Nothobranchius furzeri: one gene and its partners. The protein of the gene in region 3 interacts with the protein of the main gene of each other region in a pairwise test. Links are inferred from orthologs where the notes say so. Each region holds a gene or a part of one and is shown on either strand. Other genes may lie near its edges.

The links.
Region 1: the proteins of lmo2 (region 3) and hnrnpm interact in binary tests that used the Homo sapiens proteins (3 or more experiments, as listed by UniProt). The link is inferred for Nothobranchius furzeri from reciprocal best matches to the Homo sapiens genes LMO2 and HNRNPM.
Region 2: the proteins of lmo2 (region 3) and intraflagellar transport protein 43 homolog interact in binary tests that used the Homo sapiens proteins (3 or more experiments, as listed by UniProt). The two-hybrid records come from large-scale screens. The link is inferred for Nothobranchius furzeri from reciprocal best matches to the Homo sapiens genes LMO2 and IFT43.

What each region holds. Positions count from the first base shown.
Region 1 is NC_091748.1:58,534,022-58,537,122, forward strand, and holds the end of hnrnpm (heterogeneous nuclear ribonucleoprotein M), read right to left. Parts: intron 2,742-3,101; coding exon 2,637-2,741; intron 2,566-2,636; coding exon 2,500-2,565; intron 2,412-2,499; coding exon 2,343-2,411; intron 2,249-2,342; coding exon 2,147-2,248; intron 2,043-2,146; coding exon 1,468-2,042; intron 1,378-1,467; coding exon 1,326-1,377; intron 1,069-1,325; coding exon 905-1,068; 3' UTR 660-904; downstream 1-659. Other genes in the region: timm44 (mitochondrial import inner membrane translocase subunit TIM44), read right to left, coding at 1-69, 384-416. UniProt on the Homo sapiens protein: Pre-mRNA binding protein in vivo, binds avidly to poly(G) and poly(U) RNA homopolymers in vitro. Involved in splicing.
Region 2 is NC_091758.1:32,622,400-32,625,054, forward strand, and holds the end of intraflagellar transport protein 43 homolog, read left to right. Parts: intron 1-518; coding exon 519-591; intron 592-1,223; coding exon 1,224-1,299; intron 1,300-1,435; coding exon 1,436-1,498; intron 1,499-1,737; coding exon 1,738-1,851; 3' UTR 1,852-2,136; downstream 2,137-2,655. UniProt on the Homo sapiens protein: As a component of IFT complex A (IFT-A), a complex required for retrograde ciliary transport and entry into cilia of G protein-coupled receptors (GPCRs), it is involved in ciliogenesis.
Region 3 is NC_091744.1:61,983,577-61,987,238, forward strand, and holds the start of lmo2 (rhombotin-2), read left to right. Parts: upstream 1-858; 5' UTR 859-1,004; coding exon 1,005-1,045; intron 1,046-3,662. UniProt on the Homo sapiens protein: Acts with TAL1/SCL to regulate red blood cell development. Also acts with LDB1 to maintain erythroid precursors in an immature state.

The DNA of each region.
Region 1 (3,101 bases), on a different chromosome or scaffold from region 3:
GTAAACATGAAGTCTGTTTGAAAACGGCAGGCAAGAGGGAGAAGTCACCAAGCCTTTTCTTAAACACATCTGGACATGGACGGACACACACACAAAGATATTAATGTAGACAACTACTTCCGAACCGAATACAATGACATTCCCACATTTCGGGAAATCTTGGACAGAATACACGACAGTATTGATGTCAGACAAGTGGAAACCTTTTGAGCACACAATACTTGGTCCAAATAGGATTAAAATACCGCATTTGAGCTAACGTAGCTAATGCTAGCAGGGCAGAAAATGACTTTTAAACAATGGCAAACTAACTTATATAGGTTCCACCATCAGTTGTTTCATGTTTTTAAATAATACACTGTAAAAACACCTCAAGGGCTCACCTGATAACACCGACATAAGGGGACCGCCATCATGAATGCCGTAGAGACCTTCTTCCGGTTCTGACCTTTCACTTCCGGGACGATGAAGCGTCAAGCAACTCGTCTTTTGAGATGAATCGTTTATATATGCCATTATTTTAACACGTATTAAAAACGTCTGTATAAAAAATATACAATTTATAGTTTAATTGTACTTAAATGTTTTCTTCTTCACTATTCCACTTCGAATTTTTATTTAAACGTAAAACTCAATCTGTAAAAACACAAGTCAGAAGATTTTTTATGTTGAGATTTATTTATCAAACCATCTCAAAACACAAAGTAACAGAAAAAAACTGAACTGTGATTAAAAGTTTGGCCTCTAAAATGTAAATACCAATCTAAGAAATAACTAAAAACATCCACTGATACAAATTTCTAACTAAAATAGCATCTACTGAATAGATTTCACTGAAATGCAGTTTTGATCATGCAGTGTTTAGATAAGACCAAATCAACTGGCAAATACAACACAAATACAATTATGCATTTCTATCAATCCTAACATCAATCTCTCTCCCATTCAGACGATAGCCGTTCATGGTCCGGCAGGCTCGCTCAGCAGTTTCAGGGTTGTCAAAACGTACCACACCACAACCCTTGGATTTGCCATTTTCCATCTTTATATCAGCATACTGGACCATACCTGCATAGATTCCGAGAAGACATGTCTCAACAGAAAAGCACCAACATGAAATTTTACATTTTCTGCTCAGTTAGCTTGTTTAGATCTTGCTCTTTGAATAAACCTTATTTTAAAGTTATGAGCTGCAGTCTAATGTTTCAAGGACTGAGGTTTTCTTTAATCAAAACAAGGTCAAGCTGGATAATGCATTAGCTTCCTTACAGTAGATCAGAAACCAAGCATTCTTTTATTTCTGAGAAAACAAAAGCCATACTTACCACATGTATTGAAGGTATCCTTCAGCATCTTCCAGGTGAAGTCAAATGGCAACTGGAAAACAAAATCCAAGTTTGAAAATAAAACAAAGCTAAACTTCTGGGATGAACCAAGCCCAACTTAAATTGAAGGAAACAAACTCACATTTCTAACAAAGATTTGACATCCCTTTCTGATGTTGCCTCCCCCGATTCCAGGTCCTCCAGCTCCTCCAAAGGAATTCCCACCAAATCCACGATCTAAATCACCGGAGCGATCAAACTGCCCACCAACACCTCCAGATCCGATCCGGTCCATGGCAGAGCCCATGCGGTCAAGGCCACCAGAAGGAAAGCGGTCAAGTCCTCCAGAAGACGCCATGCGATCAAAGCTGCTCCCCATTCTGTCAAGTCCAGTGTTGCCCATGCGATCCATGCTCATCTGGGAGCCAAAGTCCATGCTGGTACTTATACGATCCAAATTAGATGGGCCCAGACGATCAAACCCACCAGGACCAAGGCGATCCATGTTAGAACCCATGCGGTCTACACCTGGTCCAAGCCTGTCCATGGTGGGCCCAAGCCGGTCCATGCCAGAGCCAGCACGATCAAACCCAGATCCCAGCCTGTCCAGGTCAGACCCACGATCAATCCTGTCCGCACCCATACGGTCCATTCCTCCAATGTTGCCTCCTAGGCGATCCCCTCCAGTGTTCATTCGATCCATCCCAAGGGTATTTCCTATAAGCATAAACAAACAAACAAAAACAAGAACACAGTGTGACTAAATTGATTGAACAGACATTTAGTAGGGGCCGTCATACACAAAATACTGGAGTACTGACCCATTCCTCTATCAAACGAATCTCCAAAATTATTGCGAGACATTCCCATTTCATTTCGCCCAAAGTCTCTGTCAAAAGCACCACCAACCCCACGGTCCATATCTAACAAAAAAGATAAATCCATCAGAAACATCCACCAAATCAATGAGGTCATTGCTGGCTTTGTGGTTTTTTAAGTGAGTCTACCTCTACCTACCATTTACCCGTCCCATCCCAGAAGAGCCAAAACGATCCATGCTGTTCATTCCGCCAAAGTTATCCATACCTAAAAACAACACAGGTCTTAGTACTTCAGGAAGTACAGAAGGTATTTGTAAATAAAAAATAGTTAAGTATTTAATAATCAGACTTACCAGCTCCTCCACCTCCTCCGCCTCCCATTCGACCTCCCATGTTGTTAAATCCCATTCCATCCATTCCTGAAATTGAGATCACTGATTGAGTACTAGTGTTTATATTTAAGGGTCAACAGAAAACTTGAGTTGATTACCTCCTGGGCCCACGTTTCCCATCCCTCCACTTCCCCTATTGAGCATTTGTGTGTCAATAGGCTGACCACCCGGTCCAAGTCCCAAACCAACACCACTTAGACCTCCTAGTTATGGGGAAACACACACAATATCAGAAAACTTAGCAATGTATATCATTAAAAGTCAGGTTTGCTAAGTCATTAAAATAAATTATGCTAATTAACTCATTCACTTCCATCGACTACTAAAGTGGACATTTTAAATCCAACTTCTCGCTGCCATTCACAACTTAAGTTGTCAATTTTATTTTATTTTTTAAACGGTGCAGACTTGGGAACACGCTTGCGCATCTGGAGTAAACATGACGCCCCTAAAGTTGATTTTCACCCGTGTGTCACACGTCATGTGATCATGAAGCAGACAATCGTTTTGAGATTCCGCTATGCCTAAAGCGAGGCGCAAACCGGAAAATCTGCTGCAGCTCG
Region 2 (2,655 bases), on a different chromosome or scaffold from region 3:
CACTGTTTGAGCAGCGGGCTGGCGGCTCCTGGCACGCCGGCTCCTGCCAGGCCACACTGTGACTTCCGACCCTACACAGATGGGCCCGCAAGCAAATACTCTTGCATGCGGCTCGATGCAGCCCCAGTTGGAGTGGCAGAGTAGACACAGAGGTCGGCCTGCCGGCCACCGTGGGTCCTCTGGGTGGGCCGTGCTGACAGGGCCCAAATGCTAAGGTAGCAGGGGGTGCTTTCTGGGGAGCCCCTGGCCAGCGCCCCTTCTCACAGCAGGATGAGCTGCCGCTTTGCCTCTTGAATATTCATGGCCGCATGTCTATGACAGGGCAGCTCTTACGAGGATGTCAGCAGCAAGAGGGAGGGAAGGAAGTGCCACGCTGATATGGTCACAGTTTCACACACCATGCACAAGAGATGAACTGTATTTACATTTTCTCGTATGGCTAGAGAATATACTTATTATTCTTGTTATTTAGTACTTCTCAATACTTTTCAGCTGATGGTGTTTGTTTTGTGCTTTAGACATTCCAGTGATTCCAGACCTAGATGAAGTCCAGGAAGAAGATCTAACGATGCAAGTGGCTGTTCCACCAAGGTAGTGAAGTCATTCAAATCAGTCCTTATTACATATGCGCTCAGTCCCTCCAATCATGTGAGTGACAGTTAACCTCTGACCTCGAACAGGACTCGGGATCAGCATCCTGCTCTGGTGACATTGATGTTACCCGTCCTCCGATCACGCCGCTGCACTGTGCCTTCCTTTATGTGACTGAAATGGAGAAATAACAGTTGGATGTGATTTATGCGACTCCATTCCCAGAATCTGCACCGAGCTGGCTCTTTGATTTACAGGGTAGTGAGGGACACACCGACATGTGTCGACTATGTAGCAAGGCTATGACAGTGGTGGAGGTTATTAGGCTGGGGCTTGCACTCTGTGCGAGATAATATCCACATTGAACTCATTGCAGGGGCAATGTAGCGTGTAATGTGCAGTAAGTAGGACTGGCATGCACTGCTAGGCCCCGGCCACTTTGAGAACCCCCCCTACTTAATTCCAACCCGCAGATAAGCAGCTGGGTTTCAATTTGAGGCGTTTAACTCTTGGCAACCATCTCCTGCTCTCTGTGGTCTTTGCTTGAAGTCTAAGAACCCACTGGTGCACAAACTTTCGCAGATCGTAAATATGAAAGTGTTCATTCTGTTTGTGATGTTTGTCTCTTTTAGCATCCAGGTAAACCGGGTGATGACCTACAGAGATCTGGACAGTGATTTGAAGCATTTCTCTGCTTTCCAGACCTTAGTAAGTCGAGGACATTTATTTTTATACATCTGTACCCCCTTTCTCATCTTTTCCTCAAGGTGGTCTGTTCAGTTCTCTGACCAGTATCACCTCAGTTTGTGCAAGCTAAGGGAATTTCCCTGCAATCTTTCTGCAGGATGGAGAGATTGACTTGAAGCTCCTCACCAAGGTTTTAGCACCGGAGCAGGAGGTGAGGGAGGTGAGTAAGTTCTTAGTATATATAGCTTGTGAGCTTCCAGTGCAAGTCTGCCCAGCTGTTTCGACAGCACCAGGGGAGGCTGCCACTCTTGTCTCCCAGGTAATCAAGATTTATGATGTGTACATTAACACCCTCTGCTCTTCTCCCCCCATTCTCCTTGTCTCTGCTCTCTGTCTCGGTATATATCCGTCCCTAATTCTTCTTTTCTCCCTCTGTTCCGTGACTATTTTTCTCTGCAGGATGATGCGAGCTGGGACTGGGATCATCTGTTTACTGAAGTGTCCTCAGAGCTCCAGATGGAATGGGATCAAGGAGAGGATAAGGAGTCGGAGTTGGGACAAAAGGGTCAATGACTCTGGTTATTTAAAATTGAGTTAAATAATATTTTACTTTTATAAATGCATTTTTACACAATTCTCTCTGTACAGAACCTTCATGTTGTCTTTTGAACACTCAGTTGCTTTGAGTGTTTTAACCTAGCCCTAACCCTCTGAACAAATGACATATAGGTAAAATGCCCTCCTTGTACTTGCAACATTATCAACGTCCACCTACAAGTCCAAGGGTGATAATCAGCTAAGCTGAAATCCAGTTGATTGTCTTCAAATTAACATTCTTCATTAAACCCTACAACCTTATTGTTATTGACCGTGCCATTGACTTTATCTTGCAGTCCTTCGATAGGAGCAACCCCTTCTTCACTATTATCTCAAACGCACTGAACAAAGTTTCTATTGACACCTGGGGGATTAGCATACATTATAAGTCTGGACAGCTGCCGCACTTCATAAAGTAAAGAGCCAATTCCTAATGAACAAGAGTATTTTTTTATTTATGTTTAAAACAGAACATTGGCTGCAATTTTCTGTAATTATATACACCATTATTACATTGTTTGTCCTAGTGTCAACAGCGGTATCAGCATTCCGGTTTGTCTTTGGTTCATGTGTGTGAATATAAATGCAGGCCTCCAACGTCCAGCCAGGTCTATTAGGGAAACAGCTGTAACATTTACAGATTGTGATTAGGTTTATTTCTCAGGCCCAGATCAGTCTCATGGTATTTGGTGATGCACAGCAAAGTCCTCAAGGACACACAGCCTACGCATCGAACCGCTCAATCTCTGCCCATCACAAATAGATCCAGATTGTTTTATT
Region 3 (3,662 bases):
TATTATAGGGGTAAAAGATTAGTATATATATTTTTTTAATAAATCATATTTTTCATTCTAGAACGTTCTATAGTCATTCTAGACTCGTTAAGCTTTGCTGGCAAATTTCTGAAGAGAAAAATGTAAAAATCAGAACTTTAAATTTCACACATTATCTTTGAAGGGTAATGTTCCTCTTCACAGCGTCTGCGTAAATGTACGAGGTGTGCACATTATTTAAATTTGAACATTACATTTCCTTATTTAAAGCAGAAATTCAGCACATCTGTTTAATGTTGAGGAATGTGGCACAAAAATGCAGCACAAGCTCAATTTGAGATGATTCTAAATTTTCTTTATTCATTTATTTGCAAAACAGCAGGCCACATATTCTAGAACAAAACATAAGAATATATTTTTATTTGCCTTTGACATGAACAGTTTAGATGTTTTACTTGCATTAATTACAGACAAAGCAAAGGAAGACATGATGGGCAGATAAAACTACCAGCAGGTGTTTTTATCAGCTCAGCTCCTGCAGCAGATGGACTCATTAGTCAGTCACGACCATCACGACCCTCTGCACGACTCACAGACCAGCAGCTCTGCTGTCGCTTTAAGACCCGTTTCCCCTCATTGTGAAGCGCTGAAACAGGAAGAGAGAAGCGAAAGCAAAGCCCGAAGGGCCCCAATGTATTTAAACGCGCTGCTGCTGCAGCTGCTGGCCACTCGGACACGCACTACTTCCTCCCCGCAGAACCCTCCTTATCGAACCGCACTGGCGCGGTTCTTCTAGTCGCTGTGGGACCTGCAAGGCATGGAAGTGTTGCTGCCTCAGGAAATGATGACAGCGTCCTCCTCCATCGGCGTCTAGCTGATTAGAGAGGGAGCTGTTCTTGTTCTGCATCTGTTGGAAACAAGGGAGCTGCTTCTTGAGTTCGCTTTTTATTTCCAGCGATCTGAAAGTGGTTTTTACCAGGGGTGCAGGTGCAGCGCGCCTTCCAGTATCCAGATCAGGCTCGAGAATGACTTCTACCATAGAGAGGAAAACACTGGAAGCAAACGAGTAAGTCAACTAAAATAAACACATTCTATCAGAAAACTATCCCACGTGCAAGACGATGAGATCAGATGTTTCTGCTTATAATATTCATAAAGAAAATTTAAGGAAAAATTAAAGAAACGGATGTAAGGTAAAACTAAACTAAACTACATGTTTAGAGTCAGATGTTGCAGCCATAATGGGAACAGGAGTTGTAACATAAGTGTATTAAGGCACACTGTAAAGGCGTTGGACCAAGGTTGAAACTCGCTTTACACTGGGAATGCTGGCCAGAGCATTACTTAAAGCCCCTCAGAATATAAAGAAGATGAGTCATAATTGTAGTTGTGCGCCTGGCTTCTTTATTATAGCCCATAGGTTAGGACAAGTAAATCAGGATAGCAGTTGATAGACATGATAGCTCATGGGTGTGGTTTTCCTGCAGAATGACAAATATGACGTATGTATAACTTAACCTTATTAAACAATTAACACACATCAGAATATTAACCTTCCGCCACCACATCATCAGTTAATAACCATACTAAACAGTCAGAGGTCACTAAATCATCATCATCTGCTCACATAAAGCCACTATATTAAGGTTTGTCAAGTTAACCTTGACGTCGTCGGTCAACTTCCGGTCTGTAAACAAAAGAGTGCTTTTATTTTCCCGACTGGGTACTTCCGGTGGCGGGTTAGCTTAGCTCAGATACTCTGAACCAACTCCCATTCCCGCACTGTAACAACACCGCTGTACTTCTCTACATTCCCGTATACTCATACAAAGCACATTCATGCCTCCTCGTACGACACCAGCAGACCAGCGCCGATCGGTCCCGAGGGAAGGTATATCAACAGCGTTTTCACAGGGACAGGAAATGCATAATAATTAACTCGATAGCCATAATCAGTCCAACATTGCACTTACTGTTCATCCACGCACACACTCGACCATGTCCCGGTGCTATCCCCCAGGCAGCAACATATCGCAGAGAGGAACCCGGGACACAAACTAGAGCTACGTAAACCTCGAGAGATATGAACCTAAAGCCATTTTATCTCTATCTCTAGCTGGACTTCTGGAGCAGACTTCCGGCCAACTACAAAATAAGCGTAACAAAGGGAATGTTTTCCCAAAATGCAAGACTTTGAGGGCTTTTCTACAATAAGCCAAGATCAAAAATCCATTCATTTTTGTCTGCTTATCTTGGGTCAGGTCATGGGGGGTAGCAGCCCAACTAGAAAGTCCCAGACTTCCCTTTCTCCTGCCATTTGGGCCAGCTCTTCATGAGGAAGCCCAAGGTGTTTCCTGGCCAGACGAGAAACATAGTCCCTCCAGCGTGTCTTGGGTCTTCCTGTCTTGTAGTTGGATTTACCCAGAAAGCCTCACCAGGGAGGTGTCCAGGAGGCATCCTAACTAGATGCCTGAGCCACATCAACTGGATCCTCTTGATGTAGAGAAGCAGCGGATCTACTCCAAGCCCCTCCTGGATGACCGAGCTGCTCACCCCATCTCTAAAGACACCCTGCAGAGAAAACTAAATTCGGCTGCATGTATTCACAATCTCATACCCAGAGCTAGTGACCATAGGTGAGGGTTGGAACATAGATTGACCGGTAAATTGAGACGCTCAGCTTCCGGCTCAGCTCTCTCTTCACCACAACAGACCAGTACAACGCCCACGTCACAGCAGACGCAGCACCAGTCCACCTATTGATCTTGTCCTCCATCTTTCCCTCACTCATGAACAAGACCCTGAGACATGTAAACTCCTCCACTTTAAGCAGGACCTTGTCCCTGACCTGGAGAAGGCATTTACCTTTTTCCGGCTGAAGATCAACTGTTAAAAGATAGAAAAGAAATATTAAATATTACTTGCATATTTTAAAATAAATGTTTCAAAAGTTCTGGAAAAACATCTTCGTTGTTTGATCCGATCAAGTGTTTCAAGAATCCTTTTCACATTTTTAGTAGTAGCAACATATTATTTTTCATTTTTTTAAAGAAAATTCCTAAACAATATTCCTGATAGGTGTGTATGAGTCATATCTTACATCCTTTACTAACTCAGGACCAGTGGTGCTGCAAGATTGTCATGGGGTTCCAAGCAAACACTGCAGACTGGAAAGTGTGCTGCAGTTTATTTGAGCGTGGGAGTGGGGGGTGCACAGACAGAAATGTGTGGCAGAGCAGTGAGGGGGAGGAGGAGTGCCCTGTTGGGTAGTGTGAGACAGCCCAAGTTATGTCAAATTACAGCTTTTCACAGTCCCATAGAGCTCCGGGAGTTGACGTCACATCTCCCGGCATGCAACAGTTCAAATCGAAACGGCGCCATATTGGCATGCAGAAGCCGGCAGCTGGACTATTTGTTATTGTCAGAAAATTCAATCAAACGGGAAATATGGTAGATTCCTGTTGTGCCCCAGGATGCAGAACAGACGCGGACGACATAAGGAATGAGTCATCTACAGGATTCCCCAAGTTCCGGAGCGCCGCAAACGTTGGATCATTGTAATAAAACACGTTAGTGACCGGGATAAAATGAAGCTGTGGGATCCCGAGAGTAAAGGTTTTCGCTTATGCAGCGACCGCTTCATATCAGGTACTTAAACAACGTGTCCTCAACTGTGTATGGTA